Linked DNA regions of Callithrix jacchus. The protein of the gene in region 2 interacts with the protein of the main gene of each other region in a pairwise test. Links are inferred from orthologs where the notes say so. Each region holds a gene or a part of one and is shown on either strand. Other genes may lie near its edges.

Region 1 (4,585 bases), on a different chromosome or scaffold from region 2:
ACACTGAGCAAATGCCCAATAAGAGTCAGCTCTGGGCTCTCCTGGGATCCACATTTCCCATCTTCCACAGGTCTCATTTCCTCTTTTCCCCCTTTCCCTTCTGAACCATGGCTCTGAAACCCAAGCCTTCAGCTGTCTGGCTAGGGTTCTCCCACCAGTCATGCCCAGTTCCCAAACCTCCCCATCCCCATCCCGCCCAAGCTACCTTGAACCTCTTGTCCTGGAGAACCTTCTTGATGGCGACCAGTTCCCTGGTCTCTGCCAGCCGTGCCTGGTACACGACCCCAAATGAGCCATTGCCAATCACTTTGATGTCTGTGTAAGCCACCTCTTGGGAGCGCTCTGGGCCTTGGCCTAGAGTGGCTACCACTGTGGTCACCTTCCCGCTGTCACCTGGGGAACAAAGGGGATACACGATCCACTGACCCATCCTGTCTGCACATCGCCCCATCCTGGGGCTGTGGGAGGAAGGGAAATCTCCACAGGAAGCTTGTTGGGGACCTCTTTGTCCCTTCCTCCTCTTTGAGGAGAGGTGGATGCTGGAACTTCCCAGTGACTTTTCCCCTCTTCCTTTCTGGGAAACTTAAATCCTGCCTCTCCTCCACATGGGAGGATATTGATACGTAAACCTCTCTGCTTCAAGGGTTGTCAACCCCAAATTTCTACTTCTAGGAAGCAACAGATCACTGGTCCATCTTGGTACTGGGAGACACCAGATGTTGACTCCATCCACTCTGATCTTCTGCCCTCTGGCCCCTCATATTTGGAGAAAGCTTGACTCAACCTCATCCACTTAAGGGAGCAGAAACCCTGAGTTACTCCTACTTTAGGAAAGCACTAGTCTTTCTCACAGCCTAGAGGATACTGACCTCTAAGTCCTCCCCTGTAGAGCTGTTAACTTCACTGGTTCTTGGTGACAGAAATGAATGTCCTCTCCTGGTATACGTAGCAGTGCCTTGACCCTCACTTTTTGGTACTTTGAGATTAGAAAAAACACTGACCTGACCTCTTCATCTGTGTGGTCCACAGCCCCAGACCCCTCCCTGTATGTGGGTGGTCCCTAATGGACAAGTACCAGATTATGAGAATGATAAACCTGACTTCTATTATCAAGGGGCTAGTCCAGCCTCAGTCCTTTGAAGGAAAGCTACAATTCTCAATTCCCATTATTCAGATGGTAGCAAACCCTGGTGCCATTCTTAGGGGTCTTTGAATAACTGATGAACCAAATCCTTTTTTTTTTTTTTTTTTTGAGACAGAGTTTTGCTTTTGTTGCCTAGGCTGGAATGCAATGGTGCAATCTCAGCTCACTGCAACCTCTGCGCCCTGAGTTCAAGCAATTCTCCTGCCTCAGCCTCCCAAGTAGCTGGGATTACAGGCGCCTGCCACGACGCCCAGCTTATTTTTGTATTTTTAGTAGAGACGGGGTTTCACCATATTGGCCAGGCTGGTCTTGAACTCCTGACCTCAGGTGATCCATCCACCTCGGCCTCCCAAAGTGCTGAGATAACAGGCGTGAACCACCACGCCCAGCCACCAAATCCATTTTGAGGGGCCAGAGACATGTTCTTTCAGAGGGAGATAACCCTACATCACTATTTTTTTTTTCAGAGCCAATGACACCATACCCTAGAACATTTATTAAAGAAGTAAAACCTTAGATCCATAGTCTATAGGAAACTGTGAACCACCCTGCTCCATTCCATTTTTGTTAAAGAAGACACACCAAGCCATGTATTTTAAAATATGGACTATGGACTTGGTTTGAAGGATATGCTGACTCCCAATGTCTTTATATCGAAGAAGCAATACCTATTAATTCTCACCACTGGGGTACAGCTCAACATATTTAGGGTGGGTAATGATGCCAAGTCTTGATGTTAATAGGGAAGATGATCTGAGTACCAGGTTTGGAAAGCCCTGGCCCTATTTTTTGGGGACACAACACAGTAACCTCAAAGCCCTGATTTTAAGTGATATTCACTCCAAATCCCCATCTTCTGAAGGACAGCAAATGCAGATCCCTCTTTTTCGGGGTATTGTCTTATTCCTGTTCTCTTAGGAGACAATAGCTCCCCATTTGCAAGCGACTATGACCTCTGATCCAGTTTTCTAATGAACAGCAACGTAAGATACCTGTTCTTAAGGCTCAAGGGCCCAAGACCTCAATAATGGAAGAACACGGACTTGTAACTCGTTTCTTTAAGTGTTAATAATTCTGATCCCAGAGTAATTCTGACATCCAAGAGATGGTAACCCCAAGACCCCTTTTTCTGGGAGGGAGAGGGCTCGGATCTTCGGTTTAGGGAGGCACAGTGACCTCGAGCTCCTATCTAAGCATATGAAAGAACCTGACGGATGTCTGAGGAGCTTTAGGAACCCTGATCACCACCTACACAGGCGCCGCTAGTACTCACGGCCCAGCTTCACCCCGGGCGGCGGGAAGCTAGTGCCTGCGCCGGGGCCTCCGCTGCCTCCTCCGCCGCTGCCGCCGGGTCCACCCCCGGAGCTCGATGCCCCGACGCCCCCACCCATGGCCCCGACAGACGTCTTCCCGCCGCCGGTGCCGCCTGGGCCGGAGGCCGAGCCTCCTGGGCCGCCGCCGCCGCCTCCGCCTCCGCCGCCTGGCTCCGCAAACGAACTGGTCCGCGCCCTGCCCGAGCCCCCAGGGCCGCCTCCCGAAGGCCCGCCGCCGCTCATGGCGCCGAGCGCAGGCCCAGGCCGCGGGGCTCGGGCTGCCTGGGCTGCCCCAGCCGCCGCTGCTGCCGCCGCCTCCCCCGGGCTCTGGCCTCTTCCAGGCCGCGCCGCTCGGGCTTGGGCTCCGGCTCCGGCCCAGCGCCCGCCGCGGGGCACGCCGGGAGATGCAGTCCGGCTGTCGTCCGCGCCGCCGTCACCGCCCTCGGCCCGCACGGAGAGCCGCGTGGCACGCCGGGAAATGAAGTCCACAAAAGCCTCAAAGTACCACGGGAATGACAGGTCGCGCTGTACGTCGGGAAATGGAGTCCAGGGTAATCTGGCAGCCGACTGTACGACGGGGAGCCCTGAAGGACTTTGGGAAGCAGAGAGCCTGATGCCGCTGGGAAACGGAGTCCACTCACTCAGTCTATTGGTTGTGTATGCGTCCCAGAGCCCGGTGCGCTCTGGGAAATTGAGTCGGCGCGCGTGAACCTGCGGCTCTCCGGCCGTGAAGCAAGCCGGGAAATGGAGTCGTCGCCACGCCCTCACCGCATTGCAGGTGTAAAGAGATTTTTAGAGCACGCCGGGAAACGGAGTCCCAGTTGGTTTCCAAGCCCCAAGTGGCTACTGCAGTTCCGGAGATCGGCGAGGAAATGGCGTAGGTTTCGCGCTCCCCTTCCCAGGTACGCTAGGCCGCAGTACCTGCCGGGAAGTGTAGTCAACACCAAGGCTCTTAGAGCAGTAGCCACAGAGAGCCCTGGTGTGTTCTGGGAAATGAAGTTCCAGGCATCCTCCCCATTGACTGAGGGGGCGGGATCGCCTAAGAGTTCCAAGCGTGCTGGGGAATAGTCCAGACCTGACCTTTTGTAAGGCCAGTCTGCAGAGGCTTGCCGGGAAGCGGAGTCCAATGGCGACGATTGGGGGCGTGTGAGCAAAATTTAGAGGCTGCAGCAGTTCCCTGGAGAGACTTAAAAGTGTTTCAGCGCCTTCTTCCTCGCCCCAGGTCCTTCTTTACGAAAAAGCCGAGGTCGGTCAAGGACTGCTGGAAAATGGAGCCAAGCACCTTTAAGTTCCAGGTGATCATAGATCAAGAAAGAAAAAATGTCCCCTCTCTTGCCCCCCCACCCCCACAACTGTGCAAAGGATTCAGGAAAGAAAGTTTTCTGCGGTTTCTCAGAACACGAGCCGTCGGATACAGTCTAGCTTTTCCTAGCAATGTGGTTAGCACCAGAAAGCTTATTGGAACATTAAAAAGATTGAAATATAATTTCTGGGCCTGGCGAGATGGCTCACGCCTGTAATCCCACCACTTTGGGAGGCCAAAATGGGCGGATCACCTGATGTCAGGAGTTCGAGACCAGCCTGGCCAACATGGCAAAACCCCGTCTCTACTAAAAATACAAAAATTAGCCGGGCGTGGCGGCGGGTGCCTATAATCCCAGGTACTCAGGAGGCTGAGGCAGGAGAATCGCTTGAACCCGGGAGGCGGAGGTTGCGTGAGCCGAGATCGCGCCACTGCACTCCAGCCTGGGTGACAAGAGCAAGACCCGTCTCAAAAAAAAAAGAATTCTGTCTTGAACCCCATTCCGTTTTTGCTTTGTGTGAGACAAGGTCTCGCTACGTTGTCCAGGCTGGAGGGGAGTGGTGCGATGATAGGTCACTGCAGCCTCGAACTTGCAGGCGCAAGCAATCCCCCAGCCCAAGCCTCCCATGTAGGTGGGACTACAGGCGTGCACTACCACGCCCGGCTAATTTGCTTTCATTTGGTTTGTTTTTTGGGGGTGGGAGTTGAGGGGAGGGCTTCGACATGTTGCCCAGGCTGGTCTCCCAACTCTTGAGCTCAAGCGATTTTGCCTCAGCCTCCCAACGTGCTGGCATGTCAGGCTTGCGCCACGGCACCGGGCCTCCC
Region 2 (3,811 bases):
TCACTCTAGAGTTAATTATAAATGAATTCCAACCTGGAGAAAATACAGCCCAAATGCGATAGCAGGAACCAAGCAGGAATAACTGCACAATTCACTGCTCCAGCTAACAACCAAAAGGCGCCAGCCCAGAACTTCACAAAGAAGTCATAGAGCTGTTAATTTGAGCAAGGTGATCAAAACAGAACAGTTAAACTTAAGGCTATTACATGCCAAATGCACACATGAAATTCAAAACTGGTTAAACACGTACACTTGCACTGCTGTGAGGGAGTAGATAGACCCATTATTGCTCAAATAAATCCTCTGTTTATGTAGTCAGGCTACATTTTTAAAGAAAAAAGCAACATTACAAAAACCTTTTGTTTTAAATTGAAACCAAATTGTTGTCTGCCATGGAAACCATTTGACAGGAGTCAGCCAGCTTCACCTTTTACTATAAGGATAATTTATCAATGCCAAGTCATAACAAATATCCTGTACACAGACTCAATTCCATCTCTCTGACTCCCTGGCCCCCTTGCCAGGGACTCTAACACACTCCAAAGTACAGGCTTCTGCTTTTCAGGTTAGATAAAGAAGCCATGGCTAAATATAACAATTTTCTTACCAGGTCTTGCTGGTTGCTAGAGAACAAGATGGTGATCCATAGGGATGAGAATGAATAACATTCTCATTAAGAAGAAAAACAGAAGAACTGGTGTTCTTCCAAACCAGAAGTCCCTTGAAATGTCCTAAATCAGTATACTTTCTCCAACATGCCCTCTCTCTATAGGGAATTAAGAGTAAGGAGAAGAGGCAGTGTGTTTCTTAAGTATAAAAAGAAGTTGTTTAAAACAGTACAATATGTATTTTTTTCTTCTTCTGAAAGCATCTCTATTGTTAAAAAGCAATTTAAAATATCCTTAAATCATTTGTTAGAAAATGTATCTCATATTCTTTGTAACTAAAAGTTTAATAAACATATTTCCTTTCAGAGATGTTCTTTATTTACAAATGCTACCTGTTAAAAATATATTCTTTATGAGAAGTAACACTCATTTCTATAGTTATCAATTTTGGTATCGATAACTATGAGATTTGACAGAAAAGATAGAGCATGTCATTTTTTTCAAAAATGTTACTTACAACACGAAAATAATGTATAAAATAGCATTCAAATGATGTCATAGAATAAAACACTCCTATAACCATGTGTGAAGATTGTGAGATTAAGTGACTGGTCTCCCAAAGCACTATAACCTAGACAGCCAATTATAGAAAAAACAAATAATGAGGAATTCCAATAGTTTTAAAACTTTTCATTTTAGATAATGTCTTACCATCTTTGCAAGTTTTTCCATTCTCCAGGAGTTTGACCCCAGTGGGGCAAGCACACTGATAAAAAGGTTTGACTGGAGACATCAAACACAAATGGGAACAACCACCATTGTCAATTGCACATAGATTTGTAGCTGTCAAATATAAATCACATTGATTAATACCAATGATTACTAAGTACACAAAGGTTAACAACCATAACATGAACAACTGTGATAAGCCAAAATTATTACCAAATGTCATGCAGGTGCTTAACTACCAAACCATTGCAAGGAAAGGAAATAATCAGTGTAAATTTACTAAGTATTTTGTATCCAAAGAATATAAAAGAAGTAAAACAGGAAATCCCTGCCCTAAAAGAGGTTATAATTTAGTCCATTAAACAAAATTAACAACAAAAAAAGAAAAACTAAAACAAATAGAAATCAAAAAAACTAAGTGTTATTTTACACATTATAGACAACAAGTACAGAGTCAAATGGGAAAAAAAAAAACCCTGAGGTTTAAAGAATTGAAGAACTTTGTGGAGGATCTAGCACAGGAGCCTTTAAGGATAATTATATCCACTTTGTGGAAGGATAGGTAAGAGGACATTTCAAGTGTGGTAAAGCTATCTGAATAAAACCTTGGGGGCCATAAACGAGTTAAGATAATAAGATCAACAGTATAACTGGAGGTTACGGTTTCTATTGACTAATAGAAACTAAAGCTGAATGAGTATGAAGAATGGGAACAGACTGAGGTGAAGGACACTGAAAGCCAAGAAAAGTAATTATGTTAACAAGTCATGCTTTGGGAAGATTAACATAGAAGGAATAAGCAGAAAAGTGGGGAAATAAAAAGCAGAGAAAACTAATTAGCAAAATTAGAAATTATGAAAAGGGACATGTCCAAACAATACTCATAGAAAAAAAATCAACAGAAGATGGAGAGCAATGGAACATGAAAGATAAAAGTAATCAATATGAAAGATAACTGTAAATTCTCAAATTACTAAAACATAAAGGACCAACAGTGCCATTTAAAAAGAAAAACAACGCCTGTAATCCCAGCACTGTGGGAGGCTGAGGCGGGTGGATCACGAGGTCAGGAGATCGAGACCATCCTGGTCAACATGGTGAAACCCCATCTCTACTAAAAATACAAAAAATTAGCTGGGCATGGTGGCGCGTGCCTGTAATCCCAGCTACTCCGGAGGCTGAGGCAGGAAAATTGCCTGAACCCAGGAGGCGGAGGTTGCGGTGAGCCGAGATCGCGCCATTGCACTCCAGCCTGGGTAACAAGAGCAAAACTCCGTCTCAAAAAAAAAAAAAAAAAAAAAAAAGAAAAGAAAAACAGGAGGCCAGGCACGGTGGCTTATGACTATAATCCCAGCACTTTGGGAGGATAAGATGGATGGATAATTTGAGTCCAGGAGCTTGAGACCAGCCTGAACAACATGGAGAGATGAGATCCTGCGTCTATAAAAAGTACTAAAATTAGGCCAGGTGCAGTGGCTCATACCTATAATCCCAGCACTTTGGGAGGCCAAGGTGGGCAAATCACCTGAGGTCAGGATATCGACACCAGCATATCGAGAAACCTTGTCTCTCCTAAAAATACAAAAAATTAGACAGGCGTGGTGGCACATGCCTGTAATCCCAGCTACTCAGGAAACTGAGGTAGAAGAATCACCAGCCTGGGCAACAAGAATGGAAGTCCATCTCAAAAAAAAAAAAAACTAAACTAAAATTAGCCAGGTATGGTGGTGGCAGCATATGCCTATAGTCCCAGCTACTTGGGAGGTTGAGGTGGGAAGATCGATTGAGCCTGGAAGTTCGAGGCTGCAGTTAGCTGTAATCACATCAACACACAACAGAGCAAGACTCCATCTCAAAAAAACAAACAAAAAACAGGGAAAATTCTTTTGAGGGCTATAGAGAATAAAAAAATTCATATGAGTGACTGAACGTTTTCTTTTGTACAGAACAGTAACACATACATTTAAAAACATTTTTATGGGCTCATGATCATTGGATTCCAACATAACACTTTCAATATTTGATTATCTCCACCTAAATGAAAAGAGCTAATATAAAGCAACACATGGTACAAACACTCTTCATTTTTGGCTATGGAATAAAATCTGAAATACACTCAGACACATGCCAGACATTTATTTACACACAAGTGCCAAACCCTTAACATTCTCATTTTCCTTTAAACCTAATTCCAGTCCTCTCTTACAAGTTGTCAGCAGTCATAGTCCAAGTCATTGTAAAGGCTGACCAAAAATAGAACCAAAACTAAGGAAAACAAGGTGGGAAGGCTGCACAGAAAAGTTTAAGTAGGTGTTTTATTTAGCAAGCTGAGGTACTTATATTCAAATAAATTCTAGATTAACAGAGTTTTCATTTAAAAAAAAGAGGGTTTTCTTTCCCCTGAGACAGAATTTCATTCTTGTTGCCCAGGCTCAAGCGCAATGGCATGATCTCGGCTCACTGCAACCTCTGCC

The links.
Region 1: the proteins of LRP6 (region 2) and GSK3A interact in binary tests that used the Homo sapiens proteins (3 or more experiments, as listed by UniProt). The link is inferred for Callithrix jacchus from reciprocal best matches to the Homo sapiens genes LRP6 and GSK3A.

Annotation. Positions count from the first base shown.
Region 1 is NC_133523.1:37,269,603-37,274,187, forward strand, and holds the start of GSK3A (glycogen synthase kinase-3 alpha), read right to left. Parts: upstream 2,866-4,585; 5' UTR 2,701-2,865; coding exon 2,418-2,700; intron 394-2,417; coding exon 206-393; intron 1-205. UniProt on the Homo sapiens protein: Constitutively active protein kinase that acts as a negative regulator in the hormonal control of glucose homeostasis, Wnt signaling and regulation of transcription factors and microtubules, by phosphorylating and inactivating glycogen synthase (GYS1 or GYS2), CTNNB1/beta-catenin, APC and AXIN1.
Region 2 is NC_133510.1:11,104,753-11,108,563, reverse strand, and holds part of LRP6 (low-density lipoprotein receptor-related protein 6), read right to left. Parts: intron 1,452-3,811; coding exon 1,320-1,451; intron 1-1,319. UniProt on the Homo sapiens protein: Component of the Wnt-Fzd-LRP5-LRP6 complex that triggers beta-catenin signaling through inducing aggregation of receptor-ligand complexes into ribosome-sized signalosomes.